2 linked regions of the Ovis aries genome follow. Each later gene encodes a partner of the first gene's protein in a complex. Links are inferred from orthologs where the notes say so. Each region holds a gene or a part of one and is shown in the gene's direction. Other genes may lie near its edges.

Region 1 (9,982 bases):
GGCTACAATCCACGGGGTCCCAAAGAGTCAGACATGACTTAGCAACTGAACAGCAACGACGACAAACATAAATACCCCCAAATGGACGTTACGATTATTTTCAAGTGCTCACATTATGGGTGATTAAAAAAGTGATTTCAGAGTTTACCTGTGGTCGAATTTAGACCACTTGCACAGTTTAAAATACAACAAACAAAAACAAAGTTGAATAAATTTTGGTCAGACGTTGCAGGATCGAAGCTCTGTTGAGACAAAAGCTGTAGAGCCCCTTCCCCTTGCTGGGCCTTTAGACTCCTGGCTGACACTAGCCAAGGGCAGGCCTGGCCCTGTGGCCACTGTGAGGCCTCACGTCCCAGATGCTATCTGCAGCAGCCTGGCCTTGGGTTAGAGAAGAAAGGAAGTTGCCATCTGTTGTACCTCAAGCCTCAGAAATCACTCCCTGTCTTGCCAGCTAGTTGCCATGGGCACCAAGGCAGAAAGGGAGAGGAGAACCAGATGAGGCTGTTGGGCTGTAGGGGAAGTGTTGGGCAAACTGTACATCAGAATGGTAAACCCAGCTGCTCAGGCTGGGGAGGACAGCTGTCGTGGGCATAGCTTTCAAGTCCCATTCCCAGAGCACAGCAGCCATGCAGGCAGCAGGGAGTGCGGACTCTGCAAGGCACTCAGTGCCCCTGGTGTGTGGAGAGGACCCTGTATAGTCAGGGCCTGCTAGAAGGGTGGCGGCTATTCTCTCGAGAACATCCTCTAGCCCTTCTGATGAACTGCATTATGGCCAGAGGATTGGGAAGGGGTCGGGGTGTGTGTGTGTGTGAAAGAGATGGGAAGGGGTGTGTGTGAGTGTGTATGCATGCTTTGTGTGTGATGGGAAGGGGTGTGCGTGTGTGTGAGAGAGATGGGAAGGGGTGTGTGTGAGTGTGTATGCGTGCTTAGTGTGTATGTGATGGGAAGGGGTGTGTGTGAACCCCTCTGCTCTGGACCTTGGCGTGTGTAGGGACAGGCAGCAGGACTGAATCAGAGGGGGCTCTTGTCAGAGGCACAGGGAAAAGCACTGGCGCTGCTTCCGTAACTGGAGCTGGATGGACCGCCTCTTCCTTCCTGGCCCCACCCCACACTGGAATGAGCCGGCTTTATGGCGCCCCTGTGTTTCTAGCACCCAGCTCAAGAAAGAAGAACAGCGCCCGCCCCCGGAAGCCCTCCCACCCTGTACCCCCATGCAGTCACTGCACCCCCCGAGGATAACCACAGCCCTAAAGCAATAGGTCGCTTTGTGCGTGGTCCACACAGAATCCCGCGGTGTTTTCTCGCTGATGTCTGCCTCGGTCACCAAGCATTATGTTTTGAGACTTCTGTGTTGTGGCTTGTGGTCATGGCCCTCTGTTTTGCTGTGTGCTGGTCCGCTGCCGGCGAATATGCCACACTGATGTATCCATTCTTCTGCTGACGAGCGTCTGAGTAGTTGTCAGTTTTGAGCTCCTGCAAATAGTGGCAGCAGATACTGTGAAACGGTTTTCCAGGTTGCTTTTACCAAATGATACTCCTAGCTTTGTGTAGAGTCTGAGCTGCTCTGCCTCTTTGCCAGCCCCCCCCCTCCTTTTTTTTTTTTTTTTTTTTGGTCTTTTTAATATTAGCCATTCTGGTAGGTGTGTCTTGGTATCACATTGTAGTTGTATTTTGCACTTTCCTGATGAATATTTTAAGTTGAGCACCTTTCTGAGTGTCTGTCGGCTATGTGAATAGGCTCTTTTTTGAGGTTCCTATTGAAGTCTTTCGCCCATTTCTGTTGAGTCGTCTGTCTTTTCTGTTCGGTAGGAATTCGTTGTGTAATGTGTCAGTTTATGCACTCACACTCACACAGAGAAATAATTTGTTTTCTCCATTCTGGATGATCTTTTAGTTTCCAGATAATGCCTTTTGACAAACAGAAGCTTATCGTCTGTGTTACATCGTGCACACGCAGAGGCGCTCCTTGTCTCACTGCGCGCCCCTGGATTGTGCTTAGCTGGCGCGGCCTTCTCTGCAAAGTGAAGGTCTGTGGCCGTGCTGCAGCCAGCAGGTCCGTCAGCGCCATTTTCCCAACGGCATCTTCTCACCTCACGTCTCTTGCAGTATTCAGACTTCTTTGTACATATTTGTCACAGTGACCTGTGATCAGTAATTTTTGACGTTACTATTGCAAGAAGGTTCACATGATGTTTAACATTTTTTAATGTGTTTTTCACAGCAAGTTCAAATCTGGTGCTCTGTGACAACCGAGGGGGGTGGGATGGGGCGGGAGGTGGGAGGGAGGTTCAAGAGGGCGGGGACATACGCATACCTATGGCTGAGTCATGTTGGTACACGGCAGAAAGCAACACAATATTGTAAAGCAGTTATCCTCCAGTTAAAACTATCCTCCAGTTTGTTTTTTTTTTAAGAGTCTTTTAAAATTAAGGTATGTGCACTTTTTTCATTTCCTAGGTATAATGCTTGCGCCAAGCTTACAGACTGCGCTATAGTATAGACTTGGCTGCTTACGCACTGGGGAGTGGCCGAGTTCTCATGGGACTTGCTTTATTGTGGTGTCTGAAACCAGACCTGCCGTGTCTCCAAGATGTGTGTGTGTGTGTGTTCAGTTATAATTGAAGGCTAGTTTTGTTTCCTTTACAACGAGTACTCTGTGTCCTGTTTAATAATCTTTGTCTACTCGAAGGTCGTGAAGATGTTCTTAGTTAAAAGCTTTATGGTTTCACCTTTTACATCTGTGGTCCGTTTAGTATGGATTTTTGTGTTTGGTGAGAAGGTAGGGTTCAGGGCTCATTTTTGGATCTCTGTTGACCAAGTATTGTTTTAAATTTCATTTTTAAATTTTTTGTTGCTGGTTGAGGTATAATTCATGTAGCTTCAGGTGTATAATATAGTGATTTAGTATTTTTATATATTATACCCCATTTACAGTTACTCTAAAACATTGGCTATATTCTCTGTGCTGTACAATGTATCCGTGAAGCTTACTTATCTCATTCGCAGTATTTAGTTTGTGCCTCTCGATCTCCCCCGCCTCTAGCCCCTCTCCACTTGCCTCTGCCCAGCATCACTTTTTAAAAGACCTCCTTTCCTCACTGCACCCCTTTGGCAGGGCTGAGGGCAAACTCAGGCACAGCATGACTTCATCTTCTGAGGCACAGGGATTCCAACTCAAGAAAAAGAAGTTACCATGCTTCCTTTCAGTAACTGGGAATTTTAATTCTGCTTCTAGGATACCAAGAGTTCGTGTTCTGGAAGACGAAGAAGGGTCGAAGGACATTGAACTGTCCGATGACCCCTACGACTGCGTCCAGCTCAGCGTGGAGAATGTCCCCTGCATCGTCACCCTGTGCAAAGTATGAGCTTATATCTCATGGTTTTTTCTCCCCTGTCAATCTCCTCCAACCGTGGCCCGTTAAGGTTACCTAGTAGGTTGAGAAGTTATGGTTTACAACCCATACAGAAGTACCTTTAACCTAAATCCACTAATTTTGTTATATTAGAGACCACTACCATAAACAGCTTTCTCTTTTTCACTGGAAGATGTGGCTCTGGTCTCAGGAGCACATGAGTGGGTTCGTAGTATCAGTAGCCAGAGTTAGCAGAGCTCCTTCTGTCTACCAGGCATGTCACCAAAATACCTTGAATGCATATTTCCTTTACTTCTTCCAACTCTGGTGTCTGGGCTGCTTGGATAGTAAAAAGGTGGTTGAAAGGCGGACACTGTCCCCTCTGTGGGCCCTAATGAGCACATCTGTGAAATGAGGGCTGGAGCAGGGCCTGGGTGTCTAATACATCAAGCGTGGAGTGCCGAGGCCTGTGGAGCGGAGCAGCTAGCTGACGCTCAGGCCTGACTGGCACCGCCCAGGACTGTGCAAAGAGGCCTGTTCTGACTGAGAGTGTCATGATTCCACTCGGGATTCACTGGATACAGATCAGACTGACAGGTCAGGTTTAATTCCACCAGGATCGCTACATGAGCCTGGGCTTTGAGAAGTGTTGGGACGACCAGAGCCACCTGCCCTTGACTCATTCTTGAGCGCGTCCATCAGCATGGGCCCTCAGCATTCATCTCTGTCATCAGTGAAACATCCAGGGGACCTCTGCTGGAGACCCCTGGATAGCCCCTGACTTGGAAGGTCTCTGAATTTTAATTCTGACCACCATCCCCCGCACCGTGTATTTCCATTTCCTGCTTCTGTTACAGTTTACACAGCCTTTCAGCAGCACAGCAAACAGTGCTCCAGGTGTTCTCCTTATGAACAGAATCTAACATTAGGCCCGAATGGGTGTGTGGGCGTCGCCTCTGCGAGGCCCTCGGGGTGCGCGTTGCCCACGCGTGCGCACTGCTGCCCTCACCTTGCAGATTGGCTATCGGCACGTGGTGGACGCTACTCTTCAGGAGGAGGCCTGCTCCTTGGCCAGTTTGCTGGTGTCCGTGACCAGCAAGGGAGTCGTGACGTGCGTGAGGAAGGTGGGAAAGGGCAGCCTGGACCCAGAGAGCATCTTCGAGATGCTGGAGGTGCGTTTGGTTCTGCAGTGGGTGCTGGTACCTGGCTGGGGGCGCTTGCTGCCTCCTGCCCCTTGGTCACACGGGACACTCTCCCCATTTTCCCCTCTTCACCCCAGTTTTGGGGATTGGAGGGCAGCTGGTATAAGGCAGATGTCGCTGAGCTAGCTGAGATGGTGGTGGGTGGGGGCTTGGGACCAGGAGGTAGCGACTGGCCCAGAAGAGTTCCTTATCCTCTCCTTCTCTGACCCCAGTGCCACGTTTCTGAATAAGAATGTTGGACTGATAATGTTAAGAGTCACTTGTAACTGCCAAATCCCAGGCTTCGGTGATTGGATGAGAGAACTGAAATCCTGGCTGACTGCTTCCTGCCTGTTAAGGAGAGTGGGCAGAGGTGGAGCTGCGGGTACAGGATGGTGGTCTCCCCATTCCGTGTGGGCCTGGAAGCGTGTAAATGGAGATGAAGAGGGATGGGGGAAAGCCCCCCACGGCCTCTGGGTGGGTTGCTCCCCTCGGTGCCCCCAGGCCTGGCAGCAGCACTCGGGCGCTTTCCAGCTGCTCCTGAACTGACTGGTTGGCACTCCCATCCCCTCCACTCCTGATAAAGCTTAGACACTCAGCTGGTTGTGTGTCTGCCGCCCCGGCCACTATAACCTCTCCTGCAAATCCAGGTCCAGATCTCGCAAGCCCTGGTGGCCTGTTTGTCTCATTTCCTATTCTCTCCCTGTCTTCATTCCTATGAATAATCAGTTTCCCTAGTCAGTGTCCCCTACTTGGACATTTTTTCCTTTTCTTAATGTTGCGATAGAAATCTTTCCAAAGTCACTTTGGACCTTAATCCTGATTTCGCATTTCATAGACTCAATCCCTTCCTGGTCTTTAGACTAAGCTCTTCTCTTCATGAGTTTTCGTGATATGGGGGTCTCATCCCTTGTTATAGTCCGGGGTCGGGAAAAGCCACACAGCCCTGGGGAGAGTCCACCGATGACTAGGAGGACTGGGGTGGGGCCAGGGCCTGGGTGTCTTTCTCCCTGACATTGTCGGGGATGGAACCAGTAGCACAAGTGAACTAAAGCTGGTATGAGACCATGGAAGGCTTGGAGAGGAAACTTGTAGTCGGTTCATAATGTTCTTGAAATGATTCATGTGACCCAAAAACAGTTGCATGAAGAAAGATTTTTATATAGTTGGGATTTTTTTGTCAAAGCCCCCTTCTGTCAGCTGTGTAGGGGGCTAATTAGGAAATCTATGGCGTTGTCTGACCTCGTGACATGCCTTGATCCCAGTAACGTATGCTTTTAGCATCTCTGCATGGCAGTAACATCAAAGACTCTATTCAGGTATTGACTTTGGTCCTATCTGAGCAGGTCTCCTTTGGTGGCAGGCAGATTAGACACTGCTTGTTAAAAAGGGTTCCCAGCACCATCTGTTCCTTCATCAGACAGATTCTGGATTCCCCGTGGTCTCCCCATGCCTTCTCTCTGCAACGCAGTGGCTGTAGCCAGGTTCTGACGGGGCTGACTGTTCTGCTGCTTCCAGTGGCAGCAGCTAAGGACCGAGGCCGCTTTTGTTCCTTTCTGCTTGCTGCTTGGGGGCTGCCTTCTTCTTTTTCCCCTTTCTCAGAATAGAGGCTTTCCCAGAAGGTTAACTACTGTGGTGTCGGGGTTTGGAGGGTTGGGTTTTTTTTTGGCAGCACCTGGTCTTAGTTGCAGCATGCAGGATCTTTAGTGGTGGCATGTGGGATCTATAGTTCCCTGTCCAGGGATCGAACTCGAGCCCCCTGCATTGGGATTGCAGAGTCTCAGCCTCTGGACCACCAGGAACTCCCTGGGGTTTTTATGTTGAATGAAAGTCCTGTAAGGCCGATGGCATGTGTGCGGCTTTGGAATGGCTGGTTGGCAGGGACGCTTCTCTCAGTCAGAGTACGTGTGCCTCACGGGCGGGCGTGTGCCCTCTTCTGTCTGCCCTTCTCCGTCCTGCAGACTGGCAAGCGCGTGGGCAAGGTGCTGCATGCCTCCCTGCAGAGCATTCTACACAAGGAGGAGAGCCTGGGGCCCAAGAGACAGAAAGTCGGATTCCTGGGCTGATGTGCACAGCAGCCTCCAACTGCCGAATGTTTGTCTTCTCCTTTTCCCTGGAAGCTGAAGTTTGTATACATTGTTTTCTTAACTGCTGTGAATTTAAGGCAACATTTGTACATGTGAAATTAAAGTCTATTTTCTGGTCTCGTGTGTGGTATGGCTTGACTTCTTCAGCTGTACGCCAGGATGCCATTTGTGGCTCCACCACAACTGACCCTTCTCTAGGAAATGACAACTAAGTCCAGAGACCTGCTCCAGTGGAGGACTCTGGTCCCAGGCCTCTCCAGGGAGACTTGTCTCCTGCTGCAGGAAATCAGAACAACAAACACACACACTAAAATAAGACCTACCAGAAAAATAGTTCAAAGGAACTGCTTATGATATCAGAGTCAGTTCAGTCGCTGAGTCATATCTGACTCTTTGCAACCCCACGAACTGCAGCACACCAGGCCTCCCTGTCCATCACCAACTCCCAGAGTTCACCCAAACCCACACCCATTGAGTCAGTGATGCCATCCAACCATCTCATCCTCTGTCGTCCCCTTCTCCTCCTGCCCTCAATCTTTCCCAGCATCAGGGTCTTTTCAAATGAGTCAGCTCTTTGCATCAGGTGGCCAAAGTATTGGAGTTTCAGCTTCAACATCAGTCCTTCCAGTGAACACCCAGGACTGATCTCCTTTAAGATGGACTGGTTGGATCTCCTTGAAGTCCAAGGGACTCTCAAGAGTCTTCTCCAACACCACAGTTCAAAAGCATCAATTCTTCAGTGCTCAGCTTTCTTTACAGTCCAACTCTCACATCCATACATGACCACTGGGAAAACCATAGCCTTGACTAGACAGACCTTTGTTGGCAAAGTAATGTCTCTGTTTTTTAATATGCTCTCTAGGTTGGTTGTAACTTTCCTTCCAAGGAGTAAGTGTCTTTTAATTTCATGGCTGCAATCACCATCTTCTTATGATATATATATTGTCAATTTTCTCCCCCTTAGAGCTTTCAAGATGATACTCACACACAATATAAATGCAACTCGTGCATTTGGGGGCTTCCTGGTTGAGATGGAGAAGGCATTCTGCCCTGGGTACCGACCCAGGGTTTCTGCCTGGCTGGTGAGCCTTCCCGAGTTTTGGGGAAGCCCAGTTCTTGCTACTGGCCCTCTAAGAGATCCCAGCCGAGCTCCCCTAGGGTCTGGTCCTGAGCCAGCCTTTCTTATCACTCTTGTTTGGAAATTGCTTCATGTTTTATAACCACTCCCTGGTGTTTTGTAAGATTTCCAGGTTTTATCAGTATTAAGAAGGCTGCTTTAGAGATGTTGCCATTTGATTACTCAGCCCGCCTTCATACTCTGGGGACAGAAGGGGAGGCCATTCTTCTGGCTTTCAGAACGCGCTTTCTGTGAGCCCGTGTTCTACTCACAGGACAGCGTGCTGGAATTAAGTCTATTCATGGGTTGAAGCAGTCTTGGTATTCCTTTGCCGGGGGAACTGAAACTCCCCAGTCGATCTTCAAGAGAGCCCTGGGGAAGGAGCTGATTCATGAAGGAGTGTTTCAGCGTGGCATTTTACTCTCTTCGTTTCATTAAACAAACAGGGTAAGGAGTTAGGAATTTTTATTGCCAGATGGAAAGAACATAATGTGAGCTGAAGCCCTTGCAGGTTGACTGCAGAGGTCCTGGCGTGGGCATCTCCCGGCCTGGCCAGGGGTGCCCAGTGGAGAGGAGCAGCTGCCTAGACTTGGAGCTGCTGCCCTGTGGAGAGAACAGCCGGGGATTTCTTCTTTTGCTTTATTTCCAGGGAGAGTCCTCATGGGTGCCGCCACAGTGCTGCCAGCGAGGTGGCAATCAGCCTGTTCCTCTTCCCCTGGCGCTGGTTGGCTGCCTGTGATGGAGCGTTCACAGTGGGGCTGCGCAGCTGCAACCAGAACGTGAACACGGTTGAGAAGCCTTTGGTTTCGGTGATTAGAGGCATCAGAGTTGCGACAGACAGGTGACGCTGTCCCAGTCCAACTGTGCCACAGCTACCCACCTGGGCCTGCTGGCAGAGCCCGTCCAGTGCAGATGAAGGGGAGAGGCAGATGTCAGCATGTCTCTACCGCCCCGTCCGTACCTTTCCTTGAGGGCCACCCTGCCTGGAAGAAGCATCCATCACAAATGAAACAAAACACCAAGTGAGCAGGGTCTCTCCAGAGAGGCTTTCCTGGAATTGTCTGGTTACTGCAGCTCTCAGAATAAGGAAAGAGAACTGAAGGCAGAGACTGGCAAAGACTTGGGAAAATATTGTCCCAGAGAACTCCACTACTTCATTCAGCAGAACCAGAGCTGTCTTTAGTGGCCATTAAATCAGTGTTGGGGAGAACTAATATGAGCCAGAAGGCAATCAGGAGTTTGTGGGCGGGGGGCTCAGTGAGGGTGGGCATGGAAGGAATGGAGTATTACAGAATATTCTAATTGCTTTTATTCTTTGATTCCTTGGTCTCTGAAATCGTGTAAATTCAAGCCTACAAAGCACACGAATTTCTAAAATTGACAGCTGTTTGCGTTTTGCTCAGTAAAGGCAGTGGTCTCCCATATACCTGCTGGTTCAGTTCAGTTCAGTCGCTCAGTCATGTCCCACTCTCTGCAACCCCATGAATTGCAGCACACCAGGCCTCCCTGTCCATCACCAACTCCCAGAGTTCACTCACACTCACATCGATCGAGTTGGTGATGCCATCCAGCCATCTCATCCTCTGTCGTCCCCTTCTCCTCCTGCCCCCAATCCCTCCCAGCATTGGGGTCTTTTCCAGTGAGTCAACTCTTTGCATGAGGTGGCCAAAGTACTGGAGTTTCAGCTTTAGCATCATTCCTTCCAAAGAACACCCAGGACTGATCTTTAGGATCGACTGGTTAGATCTCCTTGCAGTCCAAGGGACTCTCAAGAGTCTTCTCCAACACCACAGTTCAAAAGCATCAATTCTTCGGTGCTCAGCTTTCTTTATAGTTCAACTCTCACATCCATACATGACCACTGGAAAAACCATAGCCTTGACTAGATGGACCTTTGTTGGCAAAATAATGTCTCTGCTTTTCAATATGCTGTCTAGGTTGGTCGTAACTTTCCTTCCAAGTAAGCGTCTTTTAATTTCATGGCTGCGGTGATTTTGGAGCCCAAAAAAATAAAGTCTGCCACTGTTTCCACTGTTTCCCCATCTATTTGCCATGAAGTGATGGGACCAGATGCCATGATCTTAGTTTTCTGAACTTTGAGCTTTAAGCCAACTTTTTCACTCTCTTCCTTCACTTTCATCTAGAGGCTTTTTAGTTCCTCTGCACTTTCTGCCATAAGGGTGGTGTCATCTGCATACTGAGGTTATTGGTATTTCTCCCAGCAATCTTATAACTGCCAGTTGA
Region 2 (10,920 bases), on another chromosome or scaffold:
CCAATAGTCACATAACGTCATTTAAATTTCAATAAAATTAAAACAAATTTAACATTTATTTCCTCAGTTCTGCTAGCTCCATTTCAAGTAGTCAGTAGCCACAGGCGAATGGTGGTTGCCATGTTGGTCAACAGAATTTTTCTATCATCACAGAAAGTTTTACTGGACTGTGCTGGGTCTAGAGATTTCTAGGATAATGATCAGTGTGGTTAAGTTCAAGCTTATGTAGTCCTTTCACAGAGCTGGTTTCCTCAGTATGTAATTTTTTATTTCTGTCTGGGAAACAGGAGTACCAGAAGGTCATAAGGAGGTGTATTTTTGAACATCTAAAGCGAAACTTTTTCTGCAGAGAAATGAAAGATTTTTATAAAGTCTTTGAGAGCAAGTGCAAATTAGTGCTGTACCAATTAGTAACTATAAGACATCCGTATTCCCTGCCCATCCCCACCCTCTGCCAGTTAACTTGTAGCTCTTAGTTTTCCTCTGTAAATAATTTCTCCAACAGAAAATCTATGTGGGGAATTCCTTGGCAGTCCAGTGGTTAGGACTCTGCACTTTCAGTGCCAAAGGTGTATGTTCAGTCCCTGGTCAGGGAACTAAGATCCTGCAAGCCACACAGCGTGGCCAAATTTAAAAAAGGAAAAAAAGAGAAAATCTATGCATTATTTTGAAAATAACTGGACAGGCACAGTGATCCAAATATTACCCAGCAGCTGAAATGGAGACTTAAGTTCCATTCACACTACAGGCCTCTTGGTGAGATCTGCTAAAGGTCTAGTTAGAGTTGCTATGCTTCCCTTGTGGATTTATGTTAGACTTGCACATTTTTAAAAATCTCTGCCATATTATTTCATTTGATTCCCTCGGTAACTCTACTTTAGGTGGCCAGAGTGGCTCTTACTCCACTTTATGAACATCCCTTATGCAGGGATAAATACGAGTTAACTTATCTGAAATTCTATGCTTAGTAGGGATGCTTGGACTAAAATCCTAGTCTTTCCTAGTTGATTCCTGCCTCCTTCAGCTGACAACTGCTAATACTCTATAATGTTGCCCTCTATAATGTTGCCCTTTCCTCTGTTCCACAGGTCTCCAGCATCAATTCACGCTTTGCCAAAGTACGCATCCTATATGTGGGGTCCACGCCACTTAAGAACTCTTTTCGAGGAACCATCCGGTAAGGAGTATTTTTGTCTTCATATTCGCCTCAGCGCCTGGAATGAGATTAGGATAGGATGGGAGACTGGAATTTTTAAGAACAATTAACAGTCTACTCCTGCCCTGTCTCACCTCTTTGTGCTTTGATTCTCCCCAGGTAGTATCTAAAGAAAATATTATAGTATGTGAGTTAAAACAGAAGGAAGATATTAATGAGATAGGGCTTTAAATAGAACAAAAAAGAATTGAATAAGCTGGAGGTGCATTGTGGGTATGATTCATACCAAAGTAGAAGGCATTTTAGGAAGTACCTTTTTTTCTTGTGTTAATATCGATTAACCCAAGCATTATAAGACAATAAAAAGGATAGTGGGTAAAGTGGTATTTTTTCCCCACTATGGGTTCTTTGAGAAGGGACAGACAGTTCTTGTGAGCTAGATAATTTAACATCTGAGGCTCTTTCCACCCTCAGGATTCTGTGTGGTTCTGTGATGCTGCCATTCAAGCTCTCCTAAGGCAGCAGAGCTCCTTATCCTCTGCCAAATCGGATCCACTTTCCTCTAGTGGGAGGTATTGATACTCCTGTTCTGTTTGATCGAAGAATGGGAACTGTGATTTTCTCCTCGGGGTTAGGACGGGAAATATTTCTCCACCTGCTCCTCTGGGTGGCAGCAGGGTCCGGATCAGGACTTGTTCTCTTTGCTCTTATAGCTCTTTCTCTGCTAGGAGTCTGCTGGATAATTCTTTCTCACAGATAATTAATCTTTCTGTTACTTCTTTTCTTTATAGCAAAGAAGACGTCCGAGCTACTGAAAAAGACAAGGTTGTTGGTTGGCTCTTTTTTTTCTTCATGGCTTTAGGAATCTCAGTCCTTTGAGATTATTCCAGTGAATTTCAACAGGATGCAGCATGCTTGGGGCTGGTGCATGGGGATGACCCAGAAAGATGTTATGGGGAGGGAGGTGGGAGGGGGGTTCATGTTTGGGAAAAAAAAAAAAAGTCTGTGGGAATGTGGAGTCCAAGGAATTTTAAGGTGTTCTCTACTGGAAGGTGTGGAATTCACCTCACTATTCCTTTCCTCTTTGTGTGATTTTTCTTCTGTTGACCAGAGAGGAGCTAGTTTACACTTTGTCTTTGAAGCCAGGTATTTATTCATGGCTGTTCTCTCAGACTTATTCTGGACCCTTTCAGGGCAACCATAGTACCTTTTGTCTAAGTCAGATTCCTGATCAGGTTACTGAGTTCAGATCTTTCATTTTTGTGATGATGCCGCAGAATCAATAAAAGTTGTTGCTCTACTTGAGTAATGGTAGATCTGCCATTGGGGTTCTACCCTCTGGGGTTAGAAGTAAACTAGCTCTACCCAGTGGGGTTAATAGTTTCATTATAGACCTGATCGGAGTTTTTACTTAACACTTCTTTCTTTACAGGTTGAAATTTATAAGAGTTTCCGCCCAGGGGACATCGTCTTGGCCAAAGTGGTATCCTTTATTCCCTGAAGACTTGTGATCCTTTGTCAAAGGAAGAAATGGAAGTAGAGAAATCACTCAAGTAGCTATGAGAGGGAAGACTTGTAAGTCTTTGTTTTCCTTTACTAACGTGACATGACTAGATCTCCCTAGGTGATGCGCAATCCAACTACCTGCTAACCACTGCCGAAAATGAGCTGGGAGTGGTGGTGGCCCACAGCGAATCAGGTGAGTTTGTCCATGCTACCATGTGCTTACCTTTTCCTGAGAGCTAAGGTTGGGATTAGTCCACTGTTTTCCCTCGTTTTTTAATTATCTTAGAAGCAATGTGAGTGTAGATACTGACTACTGGGATTAGAATGATTCTCCTTATAAAATCTAAGGAAAGGAGCCACTTACTACTTAAATCAGTGGAATAAACAAGGCTTTTTTCTGTATGAGGTGAGAGGTTCACTAGGCAGCTTGGTGACATCAGTTCACACCCAGCTGAAAAGAGAAATGTCTCGAGCAAGTATCTGGGGTCCCAGCTCCTACACCACCTTTCCCCTTGCAGGTGTCCAGATGGTCCCCATCAGCTGGTGTGAGATGCAGTGCCCAAAGACCCACACCAAAGAATTCCGGAAGGTGGCCCGAGTGCAGCCTGAGTTCCTGCAGACCTAAGAAGCCACTTTCCCCACGCAGAAGGGGAAGCTGTTTTCCAAGAGTACATGTGTGAGTGACATCAGGAGGCTGTTGTCTTTATTCAGATACCAGGGGTTGGTCAACAGCCACCTTTAGAAAAATCTTTCCTGTAGGTGGAACGTTTTTCTTGTGAACCTTTCAGTGGGTTTTCTTCTCTGGAGTAATTTCTTTTGGAGGCACCAGCAAACAACCTGTATGACGTTAGATTATAGCCTATTCTTTTGAGTGTTGCACATGTGTGCTTTTGCTATGACAAAGAAAACATTTTTATGAAAATTTTAGTTTCTGTTGTCTCAAGTAGGGTAAAGAATCTAAACTGACATGACATCTAGAGCAGAGTCTTTGTAGACAATGCCTAATCACCTATCTTTTTTGTGTGTTTTTTTTATGTGCTACATACTTTTGAGTACTTGCTATGTGTCAGGCATGGGTTGAGCACAAAATTACCAACTTTTGTTCTAAGATTCAGTACAAGCTAAGGAAACTAACATCCCATCAGGCTACTTTAGACTTAAAGTACTAAAAGTCTTCCTAGGATTACTGGGCACATCAGATAAACAGCTAACTTGGAAAGCAAGATGCTTAAATTTTAGAATAAGGGCAACATTCATACTGGGTCCCAGTACTCAGTAGTGTACCTTCTGGCCCGTTTCTGTTTTCAGCGTGTTTCCTCTTCTGTAAATGACACTAGCCCTTTCAGAGGTTATCAGGATTGAAGATTATGTATACAACATGTCTCACCTGATGGCTAGCACAGAGCGCTTAAGAATTTTCTAGATGGAGGGTGTCACTTGTTCCTACTAGAAGAGGACGGCATTATGGGCTTTCTCATATTCCAGTGATCTTCTCAGAGGCCTCAGAGAAAAGGCAAGTGTGAGCAATGCCCCTCCCCAATTATGTAGACAACTGCAGTCAGTCCTCCCTATCCATGGATGGGAAACCCATGGGGAGAGAGCCATCTGTACTATGCCACCTTGTATTAGGCACTTTAGCATCTGTTAATTTTGAAATGTTTATTTTGGCTGTGCTGGGTCTTAGTTGCTCTTCACTGCAGCATGCAGACTCAGCTGCATGCATGTGGGATCCTGTTCCCTGACCAGGGATCCAACCCTAGCCTCCTGCATTGGGAGCTGAGTCTTAGCCCCTGGACCACCAAGGAAGTCCCTAGCATCTGTTAATTTCAGTATCCAGAGGAGTCCTGGAATCAGTCTCCCCACTGCAGATAAGGGATGACTATAGATTCATTTTCTCCTGCAAGTATAATTTCTGAGGAGGTTAGGTAACTGACAGGGATAAAACTTCAGGAGCCAAAAGGAAAGGTGTGAATCAAGTTTACAGTTTACTAATAGAAAGGGACTGGCTTTTTTAAGTCTAGTAAACAAACTTTTACCTTTCTAAAGAAGGTATATTTTGGCCACCTCATGTGAAGAGTTGACTCATTGGAAAAGACTCTGATGCTGGGAGGGATTGGGGGCAGGAGAAGGGGACGACAGAGGATGAGATGGCTGGATGGCATCACGGACTCAATGGACATGAGTCTGAGTGAACTCCGGGAGATGGTGCTGGACAGGGAGGCCTGGCGTGCTGTGATTCATGGGGTCGCAGAGTCGGACACGACTGAGCAACTGAACTGAACTGAACTGAAAAAAGGTATAATAGTTTCAAAATTTGATTTTAGTAACCAGTACCATTGAGCAAGAGCTGTAGAGAGGCAACAGGAAACAGTTCAGCTCAACCTGTAGTGGAGAACCCAGTGAGATACATGGTATTGGGAACCCCCCAGTGATGACCTCTCAACACTTCTGGATAAGTCTTCCCTCGGCTTGGACTGAGGACCATGCCCCAGATGTGCCATTCTGACTAGACTGTATGAAGGGAGTGGGTGCAAGAGATAAAATGGCTGTGTAAAGTTGTGACTGGCTATCCTAAAGCTCTTAGTCATACACGAACTTGGGCAGTGAGAGACATTTCGAGTTGAATGTTCGAGTTGATTTCCTCAGGTAAGACATATCACACAGAAAATATTGCACATCACTCCTTTATTTTATACTGATCTGGAAAAAAGATATTTTTAGTACAGTTATGCTCAAATGAGTACTGGGCCCAAGTGCAAGGCCAAGCAACTGGAACATGGTTCAGAAGGCAGGCACAGTGAGAGACACACTTGGACATGATCAAGAGGCATTCCGCTGCCACAAAACAGTAAGGCCGGGGAGGGATTCTAAAACACACAACAGGATGAACTCCTACGCCTTAGAAGTCAAGGAGCTTATCCCATGATGGTGTAAGGAATGACTTATTTGCTGATGACCACATGTGGGAGTATTTCAACCGCCACTAAAAACCCCAGAAGGGTTTTTTTTTTTTTTGTATTTATATATAATTTTTTTTTTTTTAAAGTAAATGCAACACAGAAACATTCAGGATTGATCCAGCCTTTTAGAGTCAGGGAGGAATATTTGATTGAGTCACCATGCAGGTTACATTCATCTTCCACTGGAATGACTAGAGCCCCGAGTCACCTAACAACAGTGCCCAGCTGGCCTCTGGGGATGCGAACAGGCTCTTACCATTGGTCACAGCTCAGCATGGTTTTCTCCCTGACCCCTATGCAAGCTGCTCCTTAGTAATAAACCACTATCAACCCCCCCCAGTGATAACCTCTCAACACTTCTGGATAAGTCTTCCCTCAGCTTGGACCGAGGACCATGCCCCAGACGTGCCATTCTGACTAGACTGTATGAAGGGAGTGGGTGCAAGAGATAAAATGGCTAATGTGGAATTGGGAGCCGCTGGTCCCCACCTGCAGCTACAACTTATGATGCCTACAGATGTCATCAGTGGGACATGTGCCAGGGAGAGGTGCAGAGGAGTAGGGTGGGCCAGGGCAGGGGAGGAGGGTAATCCCTGGGAAAGCAATCTGCTGCTTGCCCTCACTTCTTGGCCTTGCCCTGGGCAGCCACAGCCTCCATGGCTTTACGCACGGTCTCTTCATCCCCCAGGAACTGCATGGGCTTGATGGGCTTCAAGTTCTTGTCCAATTCATAGACCATGGGAATGCCAGTCGGCAGGTTCAGCTCCATGATAGCCTCTTCAGAGAGACCTGAAAATATACCCCCGCCTCATGATCAGTCAAGCAAGATAAGAATCCACAGACCTCTCCAGCTTTTCTGTTCATCGTCCAGGTGAGGAAATGGGTCCTCCAAGGACTCTGGCAGGAATTAAGACACCCTTTCTGATACTTGTCATAAGAGTAAGGATCTGTATTAGGGTAGAGTGATCACCCAAGGAATGCCCCCAATATTCTTTCTCAGCCACTGAACAGCAAGAAAAAAGGGATGAAAGGTATCCCTCCCCAAGGGGGATCTGGAAGCCCACAGTGAAGCAGGACTATACATCTTAGTATCTCAAATGTCCTATGTTGTCCATACAGCTGCCAAAACGTGGCGCATCTGGGCCTCTAGGCCCTCAAGTGAAACAACTTAGGATGCAAACTGACACTCATGTGGGGAGTTGTAATCAGGCTGTGGTTAAGGATTTTTATCAGCAATTTCAACTAGCAGTCCTAGTCCAGAGGTGAAAGTGAAAGTGAAGTCGCTCAGTTGTGTCCACCTCTGTGACCCCATGGACTGTATCCTACCAGGCTCCTCTGTCCATGGGATTTTCCAGGCAATAGTACTGGAGTGGATTGCCATTTCCTTCTCTAGGGAGTCTTCCCGACTCAGTCTAGAGGTAGGCATCTCAAACTTTCGTGTGTATCTCCTCTGGGGAGAGATACTTTCCATCCCTTTTTTTCTTGCTGTTCAGTGGCTAAGAAAGAATACTGGGGGCATTCCTTGGGTGATCACTCTGCTGTAACGGAGCGATGACAGATGCAGCTTCCAAATCAGGTCTGAAGTGGGACCTGAGGTTCTAACTTGTTAACAAGCACCCAGTGGGGTGTGGCAGCCTCTGGTTCTGCAGATGATGCTTTGAGAAGCAAGGATCATGTTTCTACTAGGAGATAATCTGGACTGTCTCTAAGGCTCTCAGTACATCCAACCCTTTCCTAAAGGTCTCCTTCATACTAAATCAGTCCAGAGTAGTGGCAGCTCTGCTTTACCCTTCCCCAAGGGCCCCTCTGAAAAGCACACATACCCTCCAGATGCTTGACGATGCCCCGAAGGCTGTTGCCATGGGCTGCAATTAGTACCCGTTTCCCCTCCTTGATCTGGGGGACAATTTCTTCATTCCAAAAGGGCAGAGCTCTGGCAATTGTGTCCTTCAGACTCTCACATGAGGGCAGCTGGTCTTCTGTGAGGTCTGCGTACCTGCGATCCTAAACAAAAAATCCCAGCTTAACAGTTATTACCAGTTGCATCTGTTCTGCCTATTCCTCATCCCCTAAGGGATCACAGTACAGGTAAAAGTCTCTCACCAGGGCACTGAGAGCTTGAGAAGGCGGATTATTACTATCCTGCCCTCCCTCCCCCATTACCCACGACAGGGAAGATTGAATAGTCCAAAAGAAACACAGCTTAGGAAAGGTAGGCCTCAAGGCCTTCCCAACTCACTCTTACCTCGCAATTGGTTTAGGAAGGCCCTATCAGCTACAGTGCAGTTTTAAAAAATATGGCAATACATGTAAAAAAGATAGAAATTCTTTATAGATAAACCACATAAACTCTTAACAAGTGATGGTCATTCCTTGGAAAAGAGGGATTACAAGGGGTATTTATTTTATCATAAATTAGAAACTCAGTGATCTAGGCAGATACTAATAAAAGCTAAAAGAGAGAAGTCCAGATTCTGATCCCCTGGTCCTGTGTCAGCGAGCCAAACCTCAGTTTGTCCATACCTTACTGATGTTGCTGTAGAAGGGATGGTCGGGCTCCATGGGAGGTGGCGGGACATCATAGGAGCGCCTCCAGATCTTTACCTGGGCCTCACCATGCTTGGCCGCAGTTTCTGCCTTATTGAGGCCAGTCAGACCCCCATAGTGTCGCTCATTAAGGCGCCAAGTCCTCACCACTGGCAGCCACATTTGGTCAATGGCATCCAGCACTGTCCAGAGGGTCCGGATTGCTCTCTTCTGCACTGAGGTGAAGCAGATGTCAAACTCATAGCCAGCATCTGAAAATTGTAAGTTAAAAGTGATAAGCCAATGAGGTCCACTCTAGAGCCAGAATTTCTTCTTTTTCCTTTTCTTTAGCCATGCCACATGGCTTGTGGGATCTTAGTTCCCCACCAGGGATTAAACCTGGGCCCTTGGCAGTGAGGGCAAGGAGTGCTAACTACTAGACCGCCAGGAAATTCCCTAGAGCCAGAATTTTCTTACATATAAATCTCAGGTATGGACAACCCAAATGAAAATTATTTGGCTAAATATTTTCTATACCCTAAATATTTTACATACAGGAAAAACAATATTTTGCCTTTGGGAAAGGTAACATTTGTTGATTTATGTTGCAATTGACAATATACTTCCCAGCAGCTTCCCAATAATTCATCTAACCAAAGGCCCAAATGTATTGTCAACGAGCTAACCTGAGATCTGCGCTAATCCCCAGAGTGCTGTGCTTAAGCACATTTTAATTTTTTATTTGCTTTAATTCTTTTAACATAAGGATATTAAAAACTTGGAGTCACTTAATAAACATAATATTTAATATTTATAGAGGGTTTACCAGGCACTGGACTAGTAAGTACTTTGTATGTGTTTTATTTAGTCTTCATAACAATCTAATGAGGTTACGTCATTACAATCCATCTTACTGGGTGGGGGAAATAGAAACTGCAGGAGTTAAGCAAATTATCTGAGGTCACAGATATTACATGAAAGGTTAAAAACCCAGGTTGTATGACTCTATAATCCAACTCATAACCACCATCTCTAGCTTTCTCCATAGCTTCCTAACTTCTAAGGATTCTGATGTTTGTATTTTAGTTAGAACTGTCACTTCTGATTGATAATTACTGATATATTTCAGTCCTCTCTAATTTCTGGTCCAGGAGAAATGGGATTTTTAATTCAACAATTAGGATACAGCAAGAGCTCTTACAGGATGCTGATAAAACCAGTCTGTTGCATGAAATTGTATCTTCCCTAGCGTATGGAAATCACATCACAATCTCTTCATCCACAGTTCCTTTCTGCTAGTCAAATTACTTGACTACCCTATATATCTACCTACCTACATCAACTGTTAAACCAAGTTTAAGAGAAGCCACTCACTGGAGAAAAAGCAGACCTCTCCTCTACACACAGCAGTTATGAGGGGTGGTATCAAGAGTTATGTTGGCCCAACCAGTAAGTTACAACCATATATATCTTCATTTATGTTTCACAAACCATTATTCTCCCTCCCACTTTAATGGGGAGATGCCCCTTTCCTTATGCAGTGAGCCAGGAAAACATTACTGTTTTCTTCAATGAGGCTATAAGGCCCTCATTGAAATTCAGCACAAACTTTCCTGTATTGAAACCACCAACAGAAATTAATGAAGTGAATTTTCTGCCAGTCATTCAGCTGAGAATAAGGCCAGTAAGAACTACACTGATGGGGGAAGGGAGGATTAGTCACCAGGAGACTCACCAGCACCCACGAGGGAAAAGACACATCTCATCGCTGAGCCTCAGGACCAGTCCTAGTAGACTCACTTACCATCTCCTCCCTAACTTTATAGGGAAGAATGATTTCCCAGTAAAAGGCTGAGTCACTGGGAAGCAGCATCCTCAGTGCAAGGCTCAGCTGCCATGCTGAAAAGCTGTGGTTTTTTCACTGAGTTTTCTCATTGCAGTGGAGTGCTGCACATTAGATACACAAATAGATCCCAGAGAAAAAGAGCAGTTCCCCTTATAATTCTCAACAAACTCTAAAGCCTCTTCCTTTAACTTGGCCATCAAACAAAAGCAGAGTTTAGGACGCTCCCAGGGATGGGGTTAGCTGGTGTGCCATGTGGCCTCCATCCTCCCTTAATAATATGGCGTGGTGAAACTCAGTTCTTGCTAATTTGCTCCTGAAATCATGCAAGATTTTATAAGCCCTACAGTACTTAAAGCCCTGGTGAAATTAATACTTTATTTTAGGCCTTTTATATTATTAGATTATTCATATGGTCTTCATCATTCAGAATTTTTGCTTTTAGTCATTGACTTTTTATTTAATCATCTGTGATGCCCCTAAACAGCTATTTTAAAATTTTAATGGGCTTTCTTTTTAAACTAATGCTACTAACATTTACTTAAAAACTGAACTTGGGTCTGTTATTTTAAGAGATTACAAGTTAAGGCATTTGACCAGTCTTAGGGGACAGTTGCACTTTGCTTTGTCCTGGGTCAGTCATCAGCAAGCCACCACAGACCCATTCAGTTCTTCCTGCCAGACAGGAGAGAAAATGGCCTCCGTTACCAGCACTTTCCCCATCCTGGCCTCTCCTAACCGGTATGAGGTCACACCCGGCCATCCCCAATTACTCACACACATCCTCAGCAGGATTACATTTCCCAGACTTGTTTCCAAGCCTTTGCTTCATTTCTAAAAGATCTACAGTGGAGGCAAGAACCTAGAAAGAGCAAATTTGGGCCAAATACCTGATTCACATCAACCAGGCATCAATGACCTATTTCAAC

The links. Proteins that work in one complex are often made in the same cells at the same time.
Region 2: EXOSC7 (region 1) and EXOSC1 share a complex: the UniProt entries of both Homo sapiens proteins name them as parts of the RNA exosome core complex. The link is inferred for Ovis aries from reciprocal best matches to the Homo sapiens genes EXOSC7 and EXOSC1.

Annotation. Positions count from the first base shown.
Region 1 is NC_056072.1:54,147,744-54,157,725, reverse strand, and holds the end of EXOSC7 (exosome complex component RRP42), read left to right. Parts: intron 1-3,235; coding exon 3,236-3,359; intron 3,360-4,369; coding exon 4,370-4,525; coding exon of another isoform or gene 4,526-4,681; exon of another isoform or gene 4,682-6,495; coding exon 6,496-6,600; 3' UTR 6,601-6,740; downstream 6,741-9,982. UniProt on the Homo sapiens protein: Non-catalytic component of the RNA exosome complex which has 3'->5' exoribonuclease activity and participates in a multitude of cellular RNA processing and degradation events.
Region 2 is NC_056075.1:18,478,727-18,489,646, reverse strand, and holds the end of EXOSC1 (exosome complex component CSL4), read left to right. Parts: intron 1-1,088; coding exon 1,089-1,177; intron 1,178-1,947; coding exon 1,948-1,981; coding exon of another isoform or gene 1,982-1,988; intron 1,989-2,588; coding exon 2,589-2,639; intron 2,640-2,770; coding exon 2,771-2,855; intron 2,856-3,180; coding exon 3,181-3,287; 3' UTR 3,288-5,717; downstream 5,718-10,920. Other genes in the region: PGAM1 (phosphoglycerate mutase 1), read right to left, coding at 6,242-6,411, 7,446-7,626, 8,146-8,420. UniProt on the Homo sapiens protein: Non-catalytic component of the RNA exosome complex which has 3'->5' exoribonuclease activity and participates in a multitude of cellular RNA processing and degradation events.